Neurospora crassa OR74A: one gene and its partners. The main gene of each other region encodes a partner of the protein of the gene in region 2 in a complex. Links are inferred from orthologs where the notes say so. Each region holds a gene or a part of one and is shown on either strand. Other genes may lie near its edges.

Region 1 (5,998 bases), about 2.9 Mb from region 2:
ATTGTTTCGTGAAAGTGGTGTCATTTGCTTTTGAACAGAAAGCATTATGAGATATGCTGAGAAGTGGTGTCATATGATGTAGTGTAGAGGAGGACTTGCAGCTTGGAACCACCATTGACAATCGGACCTTCTCGCAACTGGATCCCACCCGCCAAGCAACCATTCACACACGAAAACCTCGAGGGACAACAGCCAGCTCCGGGTCGGGAATCGCAATGTGTGACAGGCTCACTCCGTCTGGCGCCCCCGAACTGCCTCTAGGTAGGTCTGCAGATGATAATCCACTTTTACGTCTGATGCCTCCGCCCTAGTGTAGTAGCTAGTCTTCTGAGTCCCGACCACCCCTCCTCCAGCGGTACACTACATAGAGGTACCCTATCCCCACTTCGTCCTGTCCCATCTCGAGCTCTGTTTCCAACTTCCACTCCAACAACAACAACATCATCATCACAACTTTGCCATCTGCTTCTGCTTCCAGCAACCCCCTAGATACCCCCTTTTTTAGTACTACCAAACCAACAAATCGCCCAAAATGGCTCGCAAGTTCTTCGTCGGCGGCAACTTCAAGATGTGCGTTAATTCTCATCCGAGAGCTGAGGGGAGCTTTCCCCAACACTTTTACCCCGCCATTACCATCATCATCATAGCACCCCGTCATATGTCAACGAAAACCCCGCGGTAATGACTCGGCCAGCTAACTAAACAAACCCCTATTTCCAGGAACGGGACCCGTAAGGATCTCAAGGCCATCGTTGACAACCTTAACAACGCCCAATTGGACCCTAACGCCGGTATGTCTGCAACGCCAGGACAAAAAAAAAAAAAAAAAAAAAGACAGGGTGGAATTAGCAGTACACTGCTCAAATGCTGATCAGAACATAAACAGAGGTCGTGATCGCCCCTCCCGCTCTCTACCTTGACTTCGTCAAGCAGAACCTCCAGAAGCCCAACGTTGAGGTTGCCGCTCAGAACGTCTTCAACAAGCCCAACGGCGCCTTCACCGGCGAGATCAGCGCCACGCAGCTCCTGGATCTCGGCGTCAAGTGGGTCATTCTCGGCCACTCTGAGCGCCGCAACGAGCTCGGCGAGTCGGACGAGTTCATTGCCTCCAAGACCAAGTACGCCCTCGACAACGGCATCTCGGTCATCTGGTGCTGCGGCGAGTCCAAGGACACGCGCCAGGCCGGCGAGACCATCAAGTTCGTCGAGAACCAGCTCGCCGCTCTCGCCAAGGAGATCAACGACTGGAAGAACGTCGTTATCGCGTACGAGCCCATCTGGGCCATTGGCACCGGCCTCGTCGCCACCAAGGAGCAGGCCCAGGAGGTGCACGCCGCCATCCGCAGCTGGCTCAAGCAGAACGTCAGCGACAAGGTTGCTGAGGAGACCCGCATCCTCTACGGTGGCTCTGTCAACGCCAAGAACTGCAAGGACCTTGCCAAGGAGCAGGACATTGACGGTTTCCTTGTTGGCGGTGCCAGCTTGAAGCCCGAGTGTAAGTACTACCTGCCATTGTTGCAACGAGAGGAAGAAAGATGGCTAACATGATATGATGCAGTCGTGGACATCATCAACGCCAACCTGTAAATTACTTGCCCATAAAAAGTTATAGCTTTGCTACAGCCGCAATCATATAGGCTGGGAAATGGTGTTGAGGACACGGCGAAAATATAAAATAGTTAAATGTCCTGATTTTGTTCGATTTGGGATTGAAGAACGTAGTTTCGCTTCATGTAGCCCGTTCATGACTTCTGTGACACCAGATACCGCAACTCCGCGGCTCCTCCATTCGCTCTTAGATGTTCATCCCAAGTTCCAATATCAACAGTCAACCACCAAGCACCAGAAGATAATGTCAGATTCTTTGGAACTGGGGCAACTCATCATGGGAACTCGATAGCTCTGGAAGGACTTGATCACAACCATATAGCCAAACCGAAACCCTTGATACATCCAGAAACCCTTTTCATGTCCTCAATTCATATTCATACATTCAACATGGTATATACAATCCACCTGGTACTGAACCGAGCCAACACCGGCCGAGCACCAAATCCAGCCCAGCACCGATCCAGTCCATTCCAGCACCAGCACCAGCACCTGCTCCTCCCCCTTTTTCCGCTTTATACAGCCATACCCTGCCCATGGTAAGGCGACCAGACACCTCTGACACTGGGGTTCGTGCTGGTGACGGGCTTCTTGAACTTCTGGGGCTTCTCGCCGCTCGCGTCGCGGAGGAGCTCGGCCTTCTTGAGGATCTCGAGCGGCTCCATGTTGCGCACGCAAATGGCCTTGGTGCGCCCGTTGATGTAGTGGCCCATGAGGATCGGGTGCTTGGCGGGCCGGGGAGAGACGACGAACTCGATTTGCGGGTTGGCGGCGGCGAATTTGGGGAGGAGGGATTTGATGAAGCCGCTAGATGGAGGAAGAAGTAAGTGTTAGTGAAAGAGTCTGTCTGCTGAGGTCGCGAAGGGAGACTGGAGGGATAAGGAGGGACGAGGAGGGACGAGGAGGGACGAGGAGGGACGAGGAGGGACGAGAAAAAGGGTATGTAGTGGTGGATGGATGGATGGATGGATGGTCGGGGACGGCGGGATGGTCTCGAGATCTTGGGAGGATGTCGGTTTGGTTGGACGTGTAGAGGTATTGGTATATGTGAAAGATGTTCGATCGGGAATGAGGTTGCGATGTCCATATTCGAAGAATCCTAAACGTACTTCATGCCCCGGGAGCTGCCGGCCCAGTCACTGTAGTGGATGTCCAACTTCTTGCACTGCAAGACGAATGCGCCGACGCCATTCTAGATACAAAACAATCAACGATTAGCATTCTTTTTTTTCTGAAAATTAAAGTTTTTAGTTGCTCAGGCTGCGGTCTAACTTACACGGCCGGCAGAGGAGATCTGCGTCAATGCTTTTACCGTCATTGTTGTGATGCTCTTCTTCTTCTTCTTCTTCGCCGCCGTCCTCGCCTTGCAACAAGTCCGAGTCCACCAGGGTTCATGATCCGGAGGGCGGGTGCGACTTGAACTTCTGCCAGACTCCCGCCCCGTCGCGCGCCGGCACGGCACTGGGGGTGGGGGACCCGCCCAACTGCAAAAGCGGTTGGCAGAATCAATTTCACGCGATTGCACTCCTCCTTGGGTGTGTGCGTAGTGATAACGAAGACGACCTAAGGGTGCACGGTCCCTCTTTCGCACTCAGTCGTTCGGTGGTCGAGCGCGCGAGAAAGCTGCCCAGCAAGAGCTCCAGTCGCTGCGAGGCTGCCAGGCAGTGGACGACACAACACCAGACAGGGCCCTTTGCTGCTCCCGCCTCCCACCCTCTGTCTCTCGTCTTCAGCTGTCCAAGCAAAGTCGCGAAAATGCGGGTTTGACCTTTCTCGCAAACCGACAACACCACATTATCGCCATCACAAGAATTGGCAAACAGTAACAGCGTTCAGCCTTATTGAACTGTTCTCGCCCGGCTTTCCGAACAGTGGATCAAACGCCAGACGACCTACATTTCCTGGTTTCCGACATATCGATTTCATAATTCGACGACAGATAAGATCAACAAAAAAACACCACTTGACCAGCTACAACAGCGACAACGTGAAGCGACAATGACAGACCGGCTCCCGCCTAACCTCCTCGCACTCTTTGCGCCCCGGCCACCTCTGCGCTGGGTGCCGCCCTGCGATGTTGCTCCCGAAGAGCGCAAGTCGGCCTTCATCACCCCCGTTGCCGACTTCCTTCCTGCCATGCAGGCCTACGAGCAAGAATACGAGTACCATCCCACCGAGAGCTGGCTGGAGGCGCGCGACCGCAAGAAGCGCGAGAAGAAGGAAGCTTTGGAGAAGCTGTTGACCGAGGGTCCCAAGAATTGTACGCGGCAAACCCCCAACGTTACGCGCAGTTGTGCTCGCTACTCCTTTACTTGATCATGATCTTGCTGTCGTGCGGCTTGCTAACCGATGGCGTTTATCTGTAGACAACCCTAATGACGATCCCAACATCAGAGGAGATGCTTTCAAGACGTTGATAGTAGCGCGTCTTGACTACCGTGCTGATGAACAGGATCTCGAGCGCGAGTTTAGCCGCTACGGTCCTATCGAGCGTGTGAGTTTGCAAACCCCCCCTCCTCCTATATCATGATTTCACAGCTATGTGTGTGTTAATTGACAAGAACTGACACCAAAAAACAGATCCGTATCATCAGAGATACCCACGCCGATGAGAACCCAAACAAGAAGAAAAAGCCCCATCGTGGCTATGCTTTTGTCGTTTTCGAACGCGAAAAGGACATGAGAGGTAATGACCAGCCCCCCTTGACCCCCCCCCCCCCCCTCTTCTTGACATTCAACCAGCACACACAGACAAGGAAACGCCCGCTGTCGGTGCTTTTCTGTAAGCCCACAACCAGGACTCGAATGGCCCTCAAGCTTGCCTGTCCTGCGGAAACTTTTTCGTCTTCCCTCTATCCATTCATCTTCCACGTCGTATACCTTAAAGGTAGTATTGTTTCTTCATGGTAAGGCCTTACTGACACCTGCGCCTGTGGCGCATGCGCAATCCAGCTGCTCTAGATGGCTGTGATGGCGCCCGTATTAAGGATCGCCGCATCAAGGTCGATGTAGAGAGAGGCCGCACGGTTAAGGGATGGAAACCTCGTCGTCTCGGTGGCGGCCTTGGTGGTCGTGGTTACACCAAGGCAATGCCCGCTAGGCCCATGGGTCCCGGTGGATTTGGCGGTCCCGGTGGCTTCCGCGGTGGTGGTTTTGGTGGCGGATTTAGAGGACGCGACCGCGGCTTCAGGGGTGGTGGCGGCCCCGGCGGCGGCTTTGGAGGTGGTGATCGCTTCGGTGGACGTAGCGGTGGCGGCGGTTTTGGTGGCGGACGTGACGGCGGCCGTGGCTTCGGCGGCCCAGGTGGCAGCAGTTTCTCGCCTCCGTCTAATGCTCCCAATGGTCCCGGTGGTGGCTTCGGCGGCCGTGACCGTGACAGTCATCGTGACAGGGACCGCGATCGCGACAGCCGCAGGGACGGTCCTAGCGGAAGCAGCGGTGGGTACGGTGGGCGTGATGGCGGTCGCTCATATGATGACAGATCTGGCGGCGGAGGTTTCCGCGGCGGCGAACGCAACGCTCGGCAGACTGGCAGCAACATGGAGCCCATCAGGCCTAGAGAACCCGGAGCCCCAAGGGAATCCAGAGACGGTGGGTATCACGGTGGCCGCGACTACGACAGGCCCAGAGATCACGACGACTCATCCAGGAAACGCGGATACGACGGCGGATACGAAGACCCCAGGAAGTTGCGGCGCTACTAGACATGATGGCTGCGAAACAGCATTGACAGACCTCCTAAGCAACAACAACATACTGGTCCGGTTTGTCTCGTGGTGGGTATCATCAGCCCCCTCTCACTGCTCTCAAGTTTCCACTCAGTATTATTCTTCCCTTTTCCTTCGACGATAAGGGTAAGCCACGATGATCACTTCTCACGTGTCATACTTGACTATGGACCGTGTCAACTATCCACGACCAGAAGAATAGTGGGAGGTATCCATGTTCGAGACACTTGGACGTCCAAAGCGGATGTGATTATCTTTTCCGGTGGCTAAGGTAACCGCGTCATAAGGATCCAAAGAGCAATGGTTTGCATGCTCATCAGCCCAAGTCCGAATGGCAATCCGTCCGGCCTTCCGTTCCATCGGTCTGTCAGTCACATCAGTCCAAAGACAACTGGAGGTCTAGAACTCCAGGTGGCACTGGTGAGAGATTTCGTCAACGCATGCACGGTGGTGTGGCACCCGTCGCATACAACCTTGGCAACTTAGGACAGTACACTCAAAAGCGTTCCGCCATTGTCTTTTCGGGAGTAACAAGACATCAATCAGCATCCGTTGCAGGAAGCTAAAATCGAGGTAAAAAGAACGAAAGCCAGTTGCTTTCCGCGCTTTCGATTCCATGTCTTCTCGCCTTTTTCTCTCTTTTTTTTCCTTCTTCACTTGTA
Region 2 (5,860 bases):
AAGAGGTCGATCAGTGAAGTGTGAAGACGATCTCGATGAGGCCCAAAACGGGAACTTATTCATCGATCCTGAGTTGTGATATCACTTTATCGGTCAGTGGAGAGTTTGCCGCTGTAAACAGACCCCACTAGGACCCCGGTATCGCTACCACACAGTACTAAGAGAACTAGCGCCTCGTTAACATGCTCACCGCCTGCTATATGCGGGTTAGTGTGGTTACCCAAGTTCAACGTCCTTTCTTCTTTTTGAATGCTCGTGTTGTTGGCGACGACAACCTTGAAATGCTTTCGTGCCTGTCATATTCATGATTTCCGTGTTCACTCGACATCTCAAGTTCAAGTTGGCGTCAGTTGCAGAACTGAGCAAATTTTGAAAATTAAAAGCAGGTGCAGATGAGCCAGTTATGCAAGCGCATTGAAGCACGACAGCAGATAATTAAAGTATATAAACATCGGGCAAGGTGAACAATTGGAGTAACTCAACTACATCCATTCATTCACTTACACCCGAACAACAACCCATAGCAGTTTCAGTCACACCAGGGTCCCTTCTTTTCCCACCCCAACTACATCACTTACACAACTGAAACATCTTCAACAACTACCAGCATCTAGACGCAAAACAACATACATCACCAAAAAAAGCAAAAATGGCCGACCCTTTCGAGGTGCGCATGCGCTTCACAAACCAGCTCCGCCAACTAAGTGCCTCCGTGACATCCTCGCAAAAGGCAGCACAGTATGCTCTCCGACACAAGGATCTAGCTGAAGATTTGCACTCTTGCATTCTGGAGCAACTTGAAAGGGTGTGTTTATCTTTTATCTTCATGTTTGCTCAGTCAATCAATCATTTTGGGAAGAAGACGAGTTGAGCTGGTGTCAAACCATCCAGCCTCACCCTCATCGGCTCATCCCTCCCCCTACCCCCGCGGCTCGTTGGCTCAATCAAGACATTCACTAACAAAGGTTCCCAGAGCAATCTCAACATGCGAGCCAACATCATGTACTTCATCGAGCACTTTCTCGACATGGCCTACAAAGACGGACAAGAGGATTACATCCGCATGATGCAGCGGGACATTATTCGTGTGGTCGATGCCGTGGCGCCAGATGACGGGTCAGGGGCGGCTAACGTCAAGGTTGTCCGCAAGGTTTGTGTTTTTGCCTTTCTCACCCGTCTTTATCCCCCCCCTAATCCTCAGCCAATGCTAAAAACAACACAAACATACAACAGGTCCTCCAAGCCCTCCACGCCAAATCCTTTCTCGACGCCACCATCCTAACCGACATCTTTGAAGTCCTCCGCGAACGCGGCGAATCCTACGTTTCCTCCCAAGGGGACCTCGTCCTCTCCCCTTCTGCCAACAACAACAACAACCTTTCAGCAGCAGCATCGGGATACGATACCAACATGCCCCCCTCGCAAACCGCCATCCACTCTTCCTCCTACCCTCCTCCTTTTCCTCCATCTTCTTCCACAGCAGCAGCAGGTACCCTCCCCACCAGCACCAACGCCACCAATGCCGCCGGCGGACCTTCCTCTAGCAACCAACAGCATAGCAATTTGAGCAAACGCGGCGGAGGCGTCAACACTGCCGCCCCTCGTCTCGACAAGAAACAAGTTGAGCAACGTATCGAGGAGGATCGTGAGCGGCATAAGAGGCTGAGGGAGAACATCTGGGCGGTGCCGAGCGGAGACGAGCTGGATAGATTGCTGGAGGAGACGTCAGAGTTGGGGGATGACGACATGAGGGCGATATGGGAAGAGCAGGAGGAGTGGGAGAGGAGTTTGCAGGCGGGGATTGGAGGGATTGGAGGGAGTGGTGGTGCGGGGTGTGGGCATACTACCTCTACCAGTAACGGGGGTGAGAGGGATGATGGTATGAATGGGAATAACATGAAGGAAAAGCCAATGTCGATTAGTGGGGAGATTGCCGAGATGGCGAGGAGGAAGCAGCTGCAGCAGCTGGAAAAGGAGCAACAGGAGAAGCAAGATAAAGATGTGGAGATGACTTCGGGTTAGGAAACCGACGGAGGAGAAGAGAACCTGGGAATTCAAGACCAGTAGGAATGACACGGGTGGTGGATACAAGAGGCGCGCTGGTAGGAGTGCGATAGAAAGAAGAAAATTGAAGGAGGCAAGGAGAAGGAGGTTGAGAATAAGAAACAAGGAAGTTACCGATACATGGGGTATGCATGGGATGGCGTTTATGTTTTTGGCTGTTTAGTTATCTTCGGTATCCATAAGCGAAAGTGGGGAGATACTATTAACTCAGAAGCGGCATCTGCTCACGGTAATATCGTCGACAGACTCTCATGTTTTCGCTGACAACCCGTTCTTCTATCCATCCCAGTTCTCGTAGTATGATATAATGTTACATGTTTCATTGCTTTTTGTACACGTACAAGTGGTATATGTTGTTGTGAGGAATCTGTGTCCGCCACTCCCCCCCTTTCCCCATGAGGATATAATGTAGATGAGACCGAGAATCCCCCTTTATGTGTTTCCCAAGGCCCTGGCATTTCTTCCAACTCTGTCCCGTCATGATCATCATTATAGGAAAAAAAAAAGAAAATATCTTTCCGGCATCTGTGTCAGGAAAAGATCTCCTCGTTTGGTTCTTTTTCTGCGGGGGAGGGACGTGACCATCCTACAAAACAACAACACACATACACACACACACACACGGCGCCTCCACCCACCACACCACCACACAGAGACCATAACCATAGCAACCAACCCTTTTACTAGGCAGAAGCAGCAGTTTAGTCCATGGTGACGGTGGCGCCGAGCTCCTTCATGGCGGCGACAATCTTCTCGGCATCCTCCTTTGGTACCGACTCCTTCATGACCTTGGGCGCGCTCTCGACGAACTTCTTGGACTCTACTAGGGAGAGGCCGAGCAGGTTCTTGACCTCCTTGATGACCTTGGGCTTGGCGGCGGCGTCGAACTTCTCGAGCTTGAGCGTGAACAGCGTCTTCTCGGCAGCGGCAGGGGCGGCCTCCTCCTCCTCAGCGGGAGCGGCGGCGGGGGCAGCGGCGGGGGCGGCAGCGGCGAAACCACCGACGGGGAGATCGGGGATGTTGAGGCGGGACTGTTTTGTGTAAAAGAAGAGAGAGAGAGAGAGAGTGAGTGTTAGTGTTGGTGCCCATGTACATGTGTGCGACTTGAGAGTCTAGGTAGTATAAGATAGGTCTGTCTGTCTGTCTGTCTGTCCGGGGCCGGGCCGGGTCGGGTCGGGTCGGGTCCGGGGCGCAAAAACATCCGGAAACCTTGAAACATGCTCCGATTCGGGTTTTGTGTGTCCCGGTTCCCGGCCCCGGTTGTTCTTCTTCTCGTGCTTTATTTAAATCGGGCGTACCTTGAGGCTGGACACAAGCTCCGAGGTCTCGAGGAGAGTCAGGGTGCTGATCTGGTCAACAATGGCGGCGATCTTGGGGTTGGCGGCAGGGGCGGCGGTGGACTCGAAGCGCTTCTGGACGAGGAGGGAGCTCGAGGCCCGGGTGGATGCGCGGAGCTGGCGGGCGGCGCATTGCGCGGCGAAGCGAACCGAGAGAGACATTGTTGGTATGTGTGTGTGTTGGTGGTGGTGGGTTGTGTGGATGGATGGATGGAGAGAGGGGAGTCGGACTCGGACCGGAGGAAGGAAAGAGAGAGGGCGCGCGGGGGCGGTCGGATTGGGGTTCTCTTTTTTTGGTGAGGGAGGCTTGCCGTCGACGTCGACTTCGAGGATCGTACAACCGAACCGTACAACAACTAAACGGAGATATTTTTTTGGGGACGTTGTCGCGCGCTCCCGGGTGCTGCGAAATCTGGGACCCACTACTGGCAGTTGGCAGCTTGGTGGTTTGGGCGTGCAAGTTGGATCTATGACGGCTGGCTGACCCGGAGCTGCAGCTGGAGGGGAAAACCCAAGCTGCCTGCCCCGCGCGAGTCTGGGGATTAGGTACCTCTGTACCTTGAAGTCCACTGAAGACGCGCTAAAGGATGGGCCCCTGTCATCCCAAGCGCGCCCCTGCTGCCGCTGGGCTGTTCGTCCCACCCGGAACTAGGTTCCACTTTTGAAGAAGATGGCTCCCTTGCCTGCCGCAGCCGACTTACACTACACTATGTAGAGTACTATGCAGTACACCCCAGCACATGCGCCTAGCGCTAAGTAGCATGTACCCCGCACTATCGTTCAGCGCGATAAGGAATTTCATGTGGGAAAAAGTTCCAAACGGGAGAAAGCGAAGTTCAATGGGCAAAAAAGTTAGAGATAAAAAAAAAAAAGAGACTAAGAAAAACATCACCGTTTTTCACAACGACGACGACGACGACGACGACGACATCCACGCCAACCCGTCCCGTCGCTTTTCCCTGGCCATGATGGCCGTGATCGATGTGAGCCAGCAGAGGGCGTCGCTCCTTAGCGATGCGACCACCTTGGACCTCTTGCCGCCAGAGTTGCTGCTCATAATCCAGGATCACCAATCGACCAAATTCCTCGATGCGATCGCCAGCGCCGCTCTTGTCTCGACAGCCACCGACCGCATCTTTACCCATTTCGAGTCTGTTTTTGCCGATATTTGCGCCAGATGGATTCTGTCTTCTCCAAAACTCGATACGCGAGTCCTTGCCGCTTTCGCAAGGATCTTGCCCTTCGCCCCGTCGCTGTCCGTCTTCCTCGTGTCGCATCTTCGAGGAGGATCTTTTGGTGGTGTTAATGGTGGTAACCACAACGACAAAAGCAACGACAATGATGCTTCTTCAAAACTTAAACCTCTCGATTCCCTTGACCTAGCTTCGATCCGCCCAGATGACCTCCCAATTGTCCTCCTAGCCCTCTGGAGGCTCAACAACTTTGACAAGCGCACCTACGCCGGCCTGTCAAAGCCATCCCAAATACAGACCCTGTTCGCACACGAGAACCCCATCGTCCGATATCTTGCCGTCCGAATCTTCTGCCAGCTTCATAATGCCGCCGATGTCAAGATCGAAGCCCTCCTCGAAAAGCACATACCCAAAGATACCAGCCTTGTCGCAGAGCTCGACGGGCGCGAAGCCGACTATGCGTTCCTCAGCCTACACGAGGATTCTAGACGTGAAGACATTCAGAGCTCTCGCAGTAAATCCCAACAAACTAGTGCGGTTGACGATGCGGTTGTCGAATTGAATATCACAAACATCCCAGAACAGAACCTCACTCCTCTAGTTGTCAAATATGGAAAGACAGTCCTCCCGCGTCCCCTCGGCCCTGTGACTGCTCCCACCACCCTCGCACTTACCCCGACGACTGTTGAGAACCTCGAGAACCTCACCGGGTGCCTGCAACGACCCGGGCCTATCCTCCTCCACGGCCTGTCCGGTTCCGGCAAGACCTCCCTAGTCCACGAGATTGCGCGCGAGTTAGGCAAGCAGAAGCAACTAGTGACACTACACCTGAACGAGCAAACCGACGCCAAGATGCTGCTTGGGCTATACACCACCGACTCGAAACCCGGTTCCTTCTCGTGGCGCCCAGGTGTGTTGACCACTGCCGTCAAGGAGGGAAGATGGGTCTTGATTGAGGATCTCGATCGCGCGCCAACAGAAGTCATGAGCACATTGCTGCCTCTCATTGAGCGAGGAGAGCTGCTAATTCCTGGACGCGGCGAGACCATACAGGCCACCGAAGGCTTCCGCATATTTGCTACTGTCCGGACGCTGCTCGGCATGAACGACAAGGAGAACCTACCCAGCTTGATTGGTCTGCGTCTTTGGCAGCTTACGCACGTCAAGGCCCTTCCCCAACAGGACTTGAAGGATGTCATCAACAGCAGATATCCCTTGCTTCACAAATACGTTCCAGGAGTGTTGGCGGTCTTCGATGCGTTGCTG
Region 3 (6,359 bases), on a different chromosome or scaffold from region 2:
CTAACGCTCCCGCAGCGGCCAAGACAGCGACCGGAATACCAACGCCTAGCCCAATCTTGAGACCGTTACTACTACTACTAGAGCCGCTGGAGTCACTGCCAACGTCTCCATTGGAACTTGCAATGGGTGGAGCAGCTGGCGTTGTCGTCGGCGCCAATGAAGAGGTCTCGCTGGAGGTTAGGGAGGTTGATGATGGGTCATCGGTTATCTGAATGGTAGTTCCTGATCCTGTGGCGGATGCTTTTACGGTGCTAACCCTCGTGGACGCGATGCTGAGTGATGGAGTTCCCGTGAATGTCGTGTCAGACACTTGTATAATGGTTTGCACCAGGCCGGCACTGATGGTGAATGCACTGCTATCTTCATCGTTTGATGAACAGTCACATTTTCCTTCGTTGAAGTCTGACGCACAGCAGAATCGGCCGTTTCCACAGGCAGCTAATTCGCCTTTGCGGTTCCCGTTATCTATTAAATGAAAGCAAGGTAGATGTCAGTCAGTTGTTGACAATGGCACTGACCGTCAGACAGCTTTGATTGGACTTACCAAGGCAAGCACTCCCGCAGATGTAGTTATTCCATTGAGGATTTGTACAAGCTCCTCGCTGCACCGCGCCCAGAGTCAAGTTGGGAAACGAGTTGCTTTCTGTCGTCGTAATGCAAAGCGCATTGCTGAAACATGTCCACCCTGCCGGACAACAAGAAGAAACTGGAGCGTTGAAGGCCTGGCAAGCAAAGTAGCCTGGTGCGAACTCGCCACCAGGAAAGTAACACGGCGCATTTGGGTCGGCTCGTACTTGTCGCGCTTCTGTCGCTAGGTACACAAGTATCGCGAAGAGGGAAGATGTAGTAGGAATCATTTTTGCGGGTTCGCGCATCGCTCTCTCTGGTCATCAGCAACCAGAACTTGTAGGAAACAACAACAACAAAAAAAAATGGACAATGAGGAGATTGACAGAGTTATCAGGAAAATACAAACTTGATAGAAGTAAAAACACACCCGTGGGCGCCACGACGGCCCGTCCATACTTATCAAGTGACCAGCAACACCATGAGGCTGGCAATTAGGTTATACCAGGGCCTGTTCAGCTCGACCTCCGCATCGATGTGACCCGTGATGGTGTCTCCAGAAGCGCTTTGAGTTGCTGAATGGGAGTTGATCCAAGCAAGCCACTTGGCTTGGCACGCTGCGGCATGGATGCTGCAGCTTTTCGGAGCTCAGTTGGTTCGTTGAATGTAAAGGGTTGGACTTTCGGTCCGGTTCCCTTTTCGTTGATAACAGGGTGCAGAATTTACTGTTGCTGCGCAGTTCGCTTCGAGGTCATCGGGACCGTCTGAGTGTCGTCGGCGGAAGTGAAGATAGAAATCCCACAAAATGTGATGAATATTGGAGTCGAAAGAGAAGCTCTCTCCGAGTTCGGGGCTAGCTACCTAGCTTATCCGTGGGTGCTCATGTTTAACATGGAAAGGACCCTGAACCGAGCCGTGTCATCATTGCTGTTTTGACGGGCATTCTCTCAAGAGTGGAGTGCCAAATCGAAAAAGAAACATCAAGAAATAGGTAAAGCATTTCATCAAAGTAAACAAAGATTTTGAGACTCTCATGTCTGCATTTGTGGAGATAGCGAGCGGTTGGTGGCATTGCGGGGAACCAATTGAAGTGGGAAAAAAGACAAAAAGGGCAGTCATACGTCAACAGCTTCGCCGCTACAGAATCAGTGCGGGGAACATTTGACAGCCAGAATCCCAAGTTCAACCACTCAACAACTTGGACTGAATACGTATTCCGGTTACGGATTGAAAATTCCCCGAGGTTTATCGATCCTCTCGCGGCTGTATGACTGTGGATAAGATCAAACAGCAGAAAAAGGCATCGTCCCATACTTTCTACTCCAAAATTCTCTTCGTTTTCTCCCTCATCGTCCTCATCCTGGCTATCTTCAGTTCCCGCATCTCCTTTCCCCGGCTTTCCCTCATTGCGAGCCATTTGACTGGCAGTGCCAACACAATCACAGCAACCAGCCGCTCAACCATTACAACTACATCTACACAGAAGATGGCCTCTTCCCAGTACGCAAAGGAGCTCGAGGTAGCTCAGCTCGCCGTCCAGCGGGCCGCCCGCCTCACCAAGCGCGTCTTCCACGAGAAGGCCAAGGGCACCGTTTCCAAGGACGACAAGTCCCCTGTGACCATTGGCGACTTTGGCGCTCAGGCGCTCATCATCAGCGCCCTCAAGGCCAACTTTCCTTCGGACGAGATTGTGGCTGAGGAGGAGGCCGCTCAGCTGCGCGAGGACACCCCCCTGCGGGACCAGATCTGGGAGCTCGTCAAGTCCACCAAGCTTGACGATGAGGCTGCCGAGCAACTCCTTGGCGGCGCCATCAAGGATGCCGACGCGATGCTGGAGATCATCGACCAGGGCAACAGCAAGGGCGGCGCCAAGGGCAGGATATGGACTATCGACCCCATCGACGGCACCAAGGGCTTCCTGCGCGGTGGACAGTATGCCGTGTGCTTGGGACTGATGGTGGACGGTGACGTCAAGGTCGGTGTTCTCGGTTGCCCGAACCTGCCTGTGGACGACGCTGCGCCGTTGGCTGCGGATATCGGCACCAATGCGACCGATGAGGGCCGGGGTGTCATCTTCTCGGCCGTTCAGGGCCAAGGCGCGACTAGCAGACCCCTGGGCACCGCCGGTCTTGCGGAGGGCAAGTCCATTGCGATGAAGCCTATTACAGAGATGTCCAACGCCAGCTTCTGCGAGAGCGTGGAGGCGGGTCACTCGGATCAGGGCGTGGCTGGACAGATTGCGCAGAAGCTCGGGATCACCAAGCCTAGTGTGCGCATGGATTCCCAGGCCAAGTACGGCTCTATTGCTCGCGGCGCGGGTGATATCTACCTCCGTCTGCCTACTTCCAAGTCTTACCAGGAGAAGATCTGGGATCACGCTGCTGGAGATCTGATTGTGCGTGAGGCTGGTGGTCAGGTTACCGACGTGAGTGGAAACCGCCTGGATTTCAGCGTCGGCCGCACGTTGGCTGAAAACAAGGGTGTCATTGCGGCGCCTGCTGCGGTCCACGACCAGGTCATCAAGGTCGTTCAGGAAGTTCTCGGGCAGCAGTAAAGCCTCGGTGTCATAGTGTACAGGTTATGGCAGGTATCGGGCCGTTATGAGGCCATGTGTGTGCCAAAAAAAATAATAGACTAAATGTACAATATTCCCCCCTTATCCTCATCAACAACCATATCAGCCACCAAAACCCACCGCGCGTCCTCTATTTGATCTTCTTCTGCTTCAACTTGATGGTCTCGCCGTTGACAAAGATACCCTTACCCTTGTAGGGTTCCGGTACACGCCACCTCCTGATATCAGCGGCGAAGGTCATGACCTGCTCTCTGTTGATGCCCTCAAGCAGGATTCTTGTCGGCTGCGGCGTGCTGGCCTTCATGCCCTTGGGAACGCCCATCTCGACGGGGTGGGAGAAACCGAGCTTGAGGCAGACGAACTGCTGGCCGGGGTATTCCTCCTTCTCGGGGCGGGTGTCGATTGTAGCTCTGTAACCGATACCGACCAAACGCAACACGGCCGTGTGACCTTCTGATACACCCATAATGAAGCGGTTGAGGTACGCCCATGTTGTTCCTGTTTTGTCCAAGAAAGATTCGAAATCGTCAGCTGACTGGCCGCCCGTAACTTTCCACATTCTCCAAGACAAGGAAGGTGTTTGCCATACCCCACATCTCTCTCTGCTCCTTCTCGTCCCGGTTCGCTACGCTGAGGGTCGCTCTCCTTGCCTCGGCGTCGTGGTCGATCTTGATGAAGTCGGGAATGTCCATCTCGAGTTGTCCTGTGAAAAAGCACACGCACACGTGCAACAAGTCAGCCAGCTGCTCTGCTCCCATCCTAGTCCCCTTTGCACTCTCGCGCAAACACCCATAAACAACGTTCTCTCTCGGGCCTCTCCCAGCCCATCTGTTGCGCCCGCTCCAGTTTCGTTGCGTATCCTCAAATAAAACACCCATCTGGTCCTTTTGCCAAGTCGATTTTACAATAGAACAAACTAACCCAACGGGCCCTGCACCGTAATCTTGCGCTTAGGCTGCTGCTTCCACTGCGTCATGTCGCGCTTGACGAAGGGCTCGCCAATGGTGATCTCGACGCCAGGAGGGATACTGAGCGGGGTGCGGCCGAGCTTGGACGGGCGGGTTGTCGTCGCGGAAAAGTTGCGCCGGGCGGCGGCACCGGCAGTCTGTTGGAAGGCGGGCACCAGGAAGCCGGGGAGTGTGACGACGGGAGAAGATGAGGAAGAGGCAACGGCCTCAAGGACCCTCCTTCGGCTTGGGGCGAACATCGTGGTGAGTGTCGTCGTCGTCGGCAGGGTGGTGGCCGTCGTCACGATGCGGAACCGGAATTGGCGAAGAGACGCGGCGCTCCAGTTCGGAGGTTCTGGCAGTCGCAAGGGCAGCACCGAGTCAATGGCAAGCCGGCCGGGTGGTGGGATGAACCGAGTGGATCTTCGGAGAGCTCCAAAAAATGTATCGGACCTGACGCGGCACAGCAATGCAGCTAGTGATTGGCTGTAAATACAACAGGGTTAGGGTCGTATCCGCATAGTCTCGCTGCTGCTATTCGCTTGGGCTAAGAAACAACGACGAACACCAACAGATGTTATTCCATCCGACATCATTCATCTCGAGTAAGAAATCTTCAAAAAGAAAATGGCACAGGGCGTGGAAGTGTAGAGTTTACTCGATGGAACATATTGTTTCACAATATTCAGATTGAATGTTGAATTAATCTCCCGTTCGACAATCGTCCAGCTTTCCGATGACGACTTTACGGATGCCAACCTCACGATAGTCATCACCACCCAGAACACCCGTCACGGTCGAAGTCTTCCAAACTGTCTCAAGCGAGCTGTTTGCACTTTCTCGATACCGGATGAAAAGATGCAGATTCCAGTGATGTCAAGACAAGTGGTCTACAGCCCAAATCTTTGTCTAGGCTCGCTTCTGTTGGAGAGGACAGCGTCACATCAGACGATTAAGAACCAGCAAAAGTCGAGCTCGGCAGACAATCACAGTCATATTCGATGCGAACTTCAAGTGAAGTCATTTCACACGAAACCTTTTCGCGGTTTCACAATCCTGTGATTCTTGTCCCGCTAAATTCAAGTCCGCTTCTCTTATCCTGGGCAGTCGCGATCGCCAACTTACCCTCATACACCTTCCTTCCTTCCCTCTCTTGAATCGCTCCTTCTCTTCAAAAACACCACAGAATTTTCAGTTGCATGGCCACAAACTTCGATCGCCAAAATTGCACTACCAATATTGCCAGAATCTCCATTTCTTACTGCCGAAGTCCCTTCGACGGCACTCTTCTGGACGCATCTGACTTTATCAGTATATCATCATCAGCCTGTCGCATTGCACTTACATGACAACTATGGCCAGGAAGCTTCTCTTCACGGCTCTCTGTGCCGTTACAGCTACACCTTCTCTGGCCTTTTCGTGGGGAGGTGAAAGAAAAGTGGCAGTTCGTAAGTAATATCAGAGCACTGCCTGCAGGGCTTGACTAATAATATGACCGCAACACAGCCGACCATCAAGTCAACATCGACCGCAACATCCAGCCTTCGGATCTGCTTCGAGCGTCCTCACGCCTACCAAATATCTACGCCGTCGCCCTAAGTGAACTTCAAGAACTCGAATCAGAACCGTTTTGCCATCGTGTGGCCGCCCGACTCCTAGTCAACAACTGCCAGCTGGTAGACGGAAAGAACGACGCCACAATCCTCACAGACACTGGTCGGCAAGTTCGCGACTTTGTTGATTCCTACGCTGCCAGTCTAGCGATATGTGATTTGGAGCGAGGCAGGTTCAATATCCCGGCGCAATGTGCCAAGTTCCGTGAACCGGCCCTGAGTCAGATTGCGATCCGGGACCAAGCACAACTCCACGTCAGCAGTCATGAAATCGATCACTGCCTGTCAGCCATGAAGTCGTCAGATGCTGCGTGGAATACGTGGATTAGTTATCGGCACAAGGCCTTGCGGTTCTGTGAGGCGGCCAGAGCGGATAATGAGAAAGGTATGGTATCTAGGTTGAGACGCACCGTTTCAGAGTCGTAGCTGACAGTGATTTACAGCACAAAACATTCTCCTCTATCAACGACTCACGAATGTGATGAAGAACCTTACAGAAGGCGTGGAAGCTCAGCTTCAGAAGCAAATGAATCGACTTGACCTGCGGACACAACAGTCCATGAAAAATCTCGACAACCTCACACCACAGATCGATAAACTGAGAGATGGGCTTGCCATGGTTCATGAATACTTGGCGACCGATGTTGAAGCAACACT

What was found.
Region 1: NCU06469 (region 2) and NCU07549 share a complex: the UniProt entries of both Saccharomyces cerevisiae proteins name them as parts of the mitochondrial large ribosomal subunit. The link is inferred for Neurospora crassa OR74A from reciprocal best matches to the Saccharomyces cerevisiae genes MNP1 and MRPL51.
Region 3: NCU06469 (region 2) and NCU04068 share a complex: the UniProt entries of both Saccharomyces cerevisiae proteins name them as parts of the mitochondrial large ribosomal subunit. The link is inferred for Neurospora crassa OR74A from reciprocal best matches to the Saccharomyces cerevisiae genes MNP1 and MRPL6.

Annotation. Positions count from the first base shown.
Region 1 is NC_026503.1:4,404,884-4,410,881, forward strand, and holds NCU07549 (mitochondrial 54S ribosomal protein MRPL51), read right to left. Parts: upstream 3,108-5,998; 5' UTR 2,927-3,107; coding exon 2,885-2,926; intron 2,801-2,884; coding exon 2,718-2,800; intron 2,416-2,717; coding exon 2,124-2,415; 3' UTR 1,672-2,123; downstream 1-1,671. Other genes in the region: NCU07550 (triosephosphate isomerase), read left to right, coding at 533-570, 721-791, 887-1,495, 1,559-1,587; NCU07548 (hypothetical protein), read left to right, coding at 3,607-3,868, 3,975-4,102, 4,189-4,294, 4,561-5,312. UniProt on the Saccharomyces cerevisiae protein: Component of the mitochondrial ribosome (mitoribosome), a dedicated translation machinery responsible for the synthesis of mitochondrial genome-encoded proteins, including at least some of the essential transmembrane subunits of the mitochondrial respiratory chain.
Region 2 is NC_026503.1:1,524,065-1,529,924, reverse strand, and holds NCU06469 (putative mitochondrial 54S ribosomal protein MNP1), read right to left. Parts: upstream 3,782-5,860; 5' UTR 3,564-3,781; coding exon 3,363-3,563; intron 3,096-3,362; coding exon 2,766-3,095; 3' UTR 2,232-2,765; downstream 1-2,231. Other genes in the region: NCU06470 (hypothetical protein), read left to right, coding at 650-805, 974-1,150, 1,234-2,022; NCU06468 (midasin), read left to right, coding at 4,367-5,860. UniProt on the Saccharomyces cerevisiae protein: Component of the mitochondrial ribosome (mitoribosome), a dedicated translation machinery responsible for the synthesis of mitochondrial genome-encoded proteins, including at least some of the essential transmembrane subunits of the mitochondrial respiratory chain.
Region 3 is NC_026506.1:2,634,071-2,640,429, reverse strand, and holds NCU04068 (mitochondrial 54S ribosomal protein YmL16), read right to left. Parts: upstream 4,535-6,359; 5' UTR 4,350-4,534; coding exon 4,064-4,349; intron 3,846-4,063; coding exon 3,732-3,845; intron 3,641-3,731; coding exon 3,273-3,640; 3' UTR 3,122-3,272; coding exon of another isoform or gene 1,835-3,121; 3' UTR 1,728-1,834; downstream 1-1,727. Other genes in the region: NCU04070 (hypothetical protein), read right to left, coding at 1-465, 545-875; NCU04069 (3'-phosphoadenosine 5'-phosphatase), read left to right, coding at 1,835-3,121; NCU04067 (hypothetical protein), read left to right, coding at 5,444-5,537, 5,596-6,087, 6,146-6,359. UniProt on the Saccharomyces cerevisiae protein: Component of the mitochondrial ribosome (mitoribosome), a dedicated translation machinery responsible for the synthesis of mitochondrial genome-encoded proteins, including at least some of the essential transmembrane subunits of the mitochondrial respiratory chain.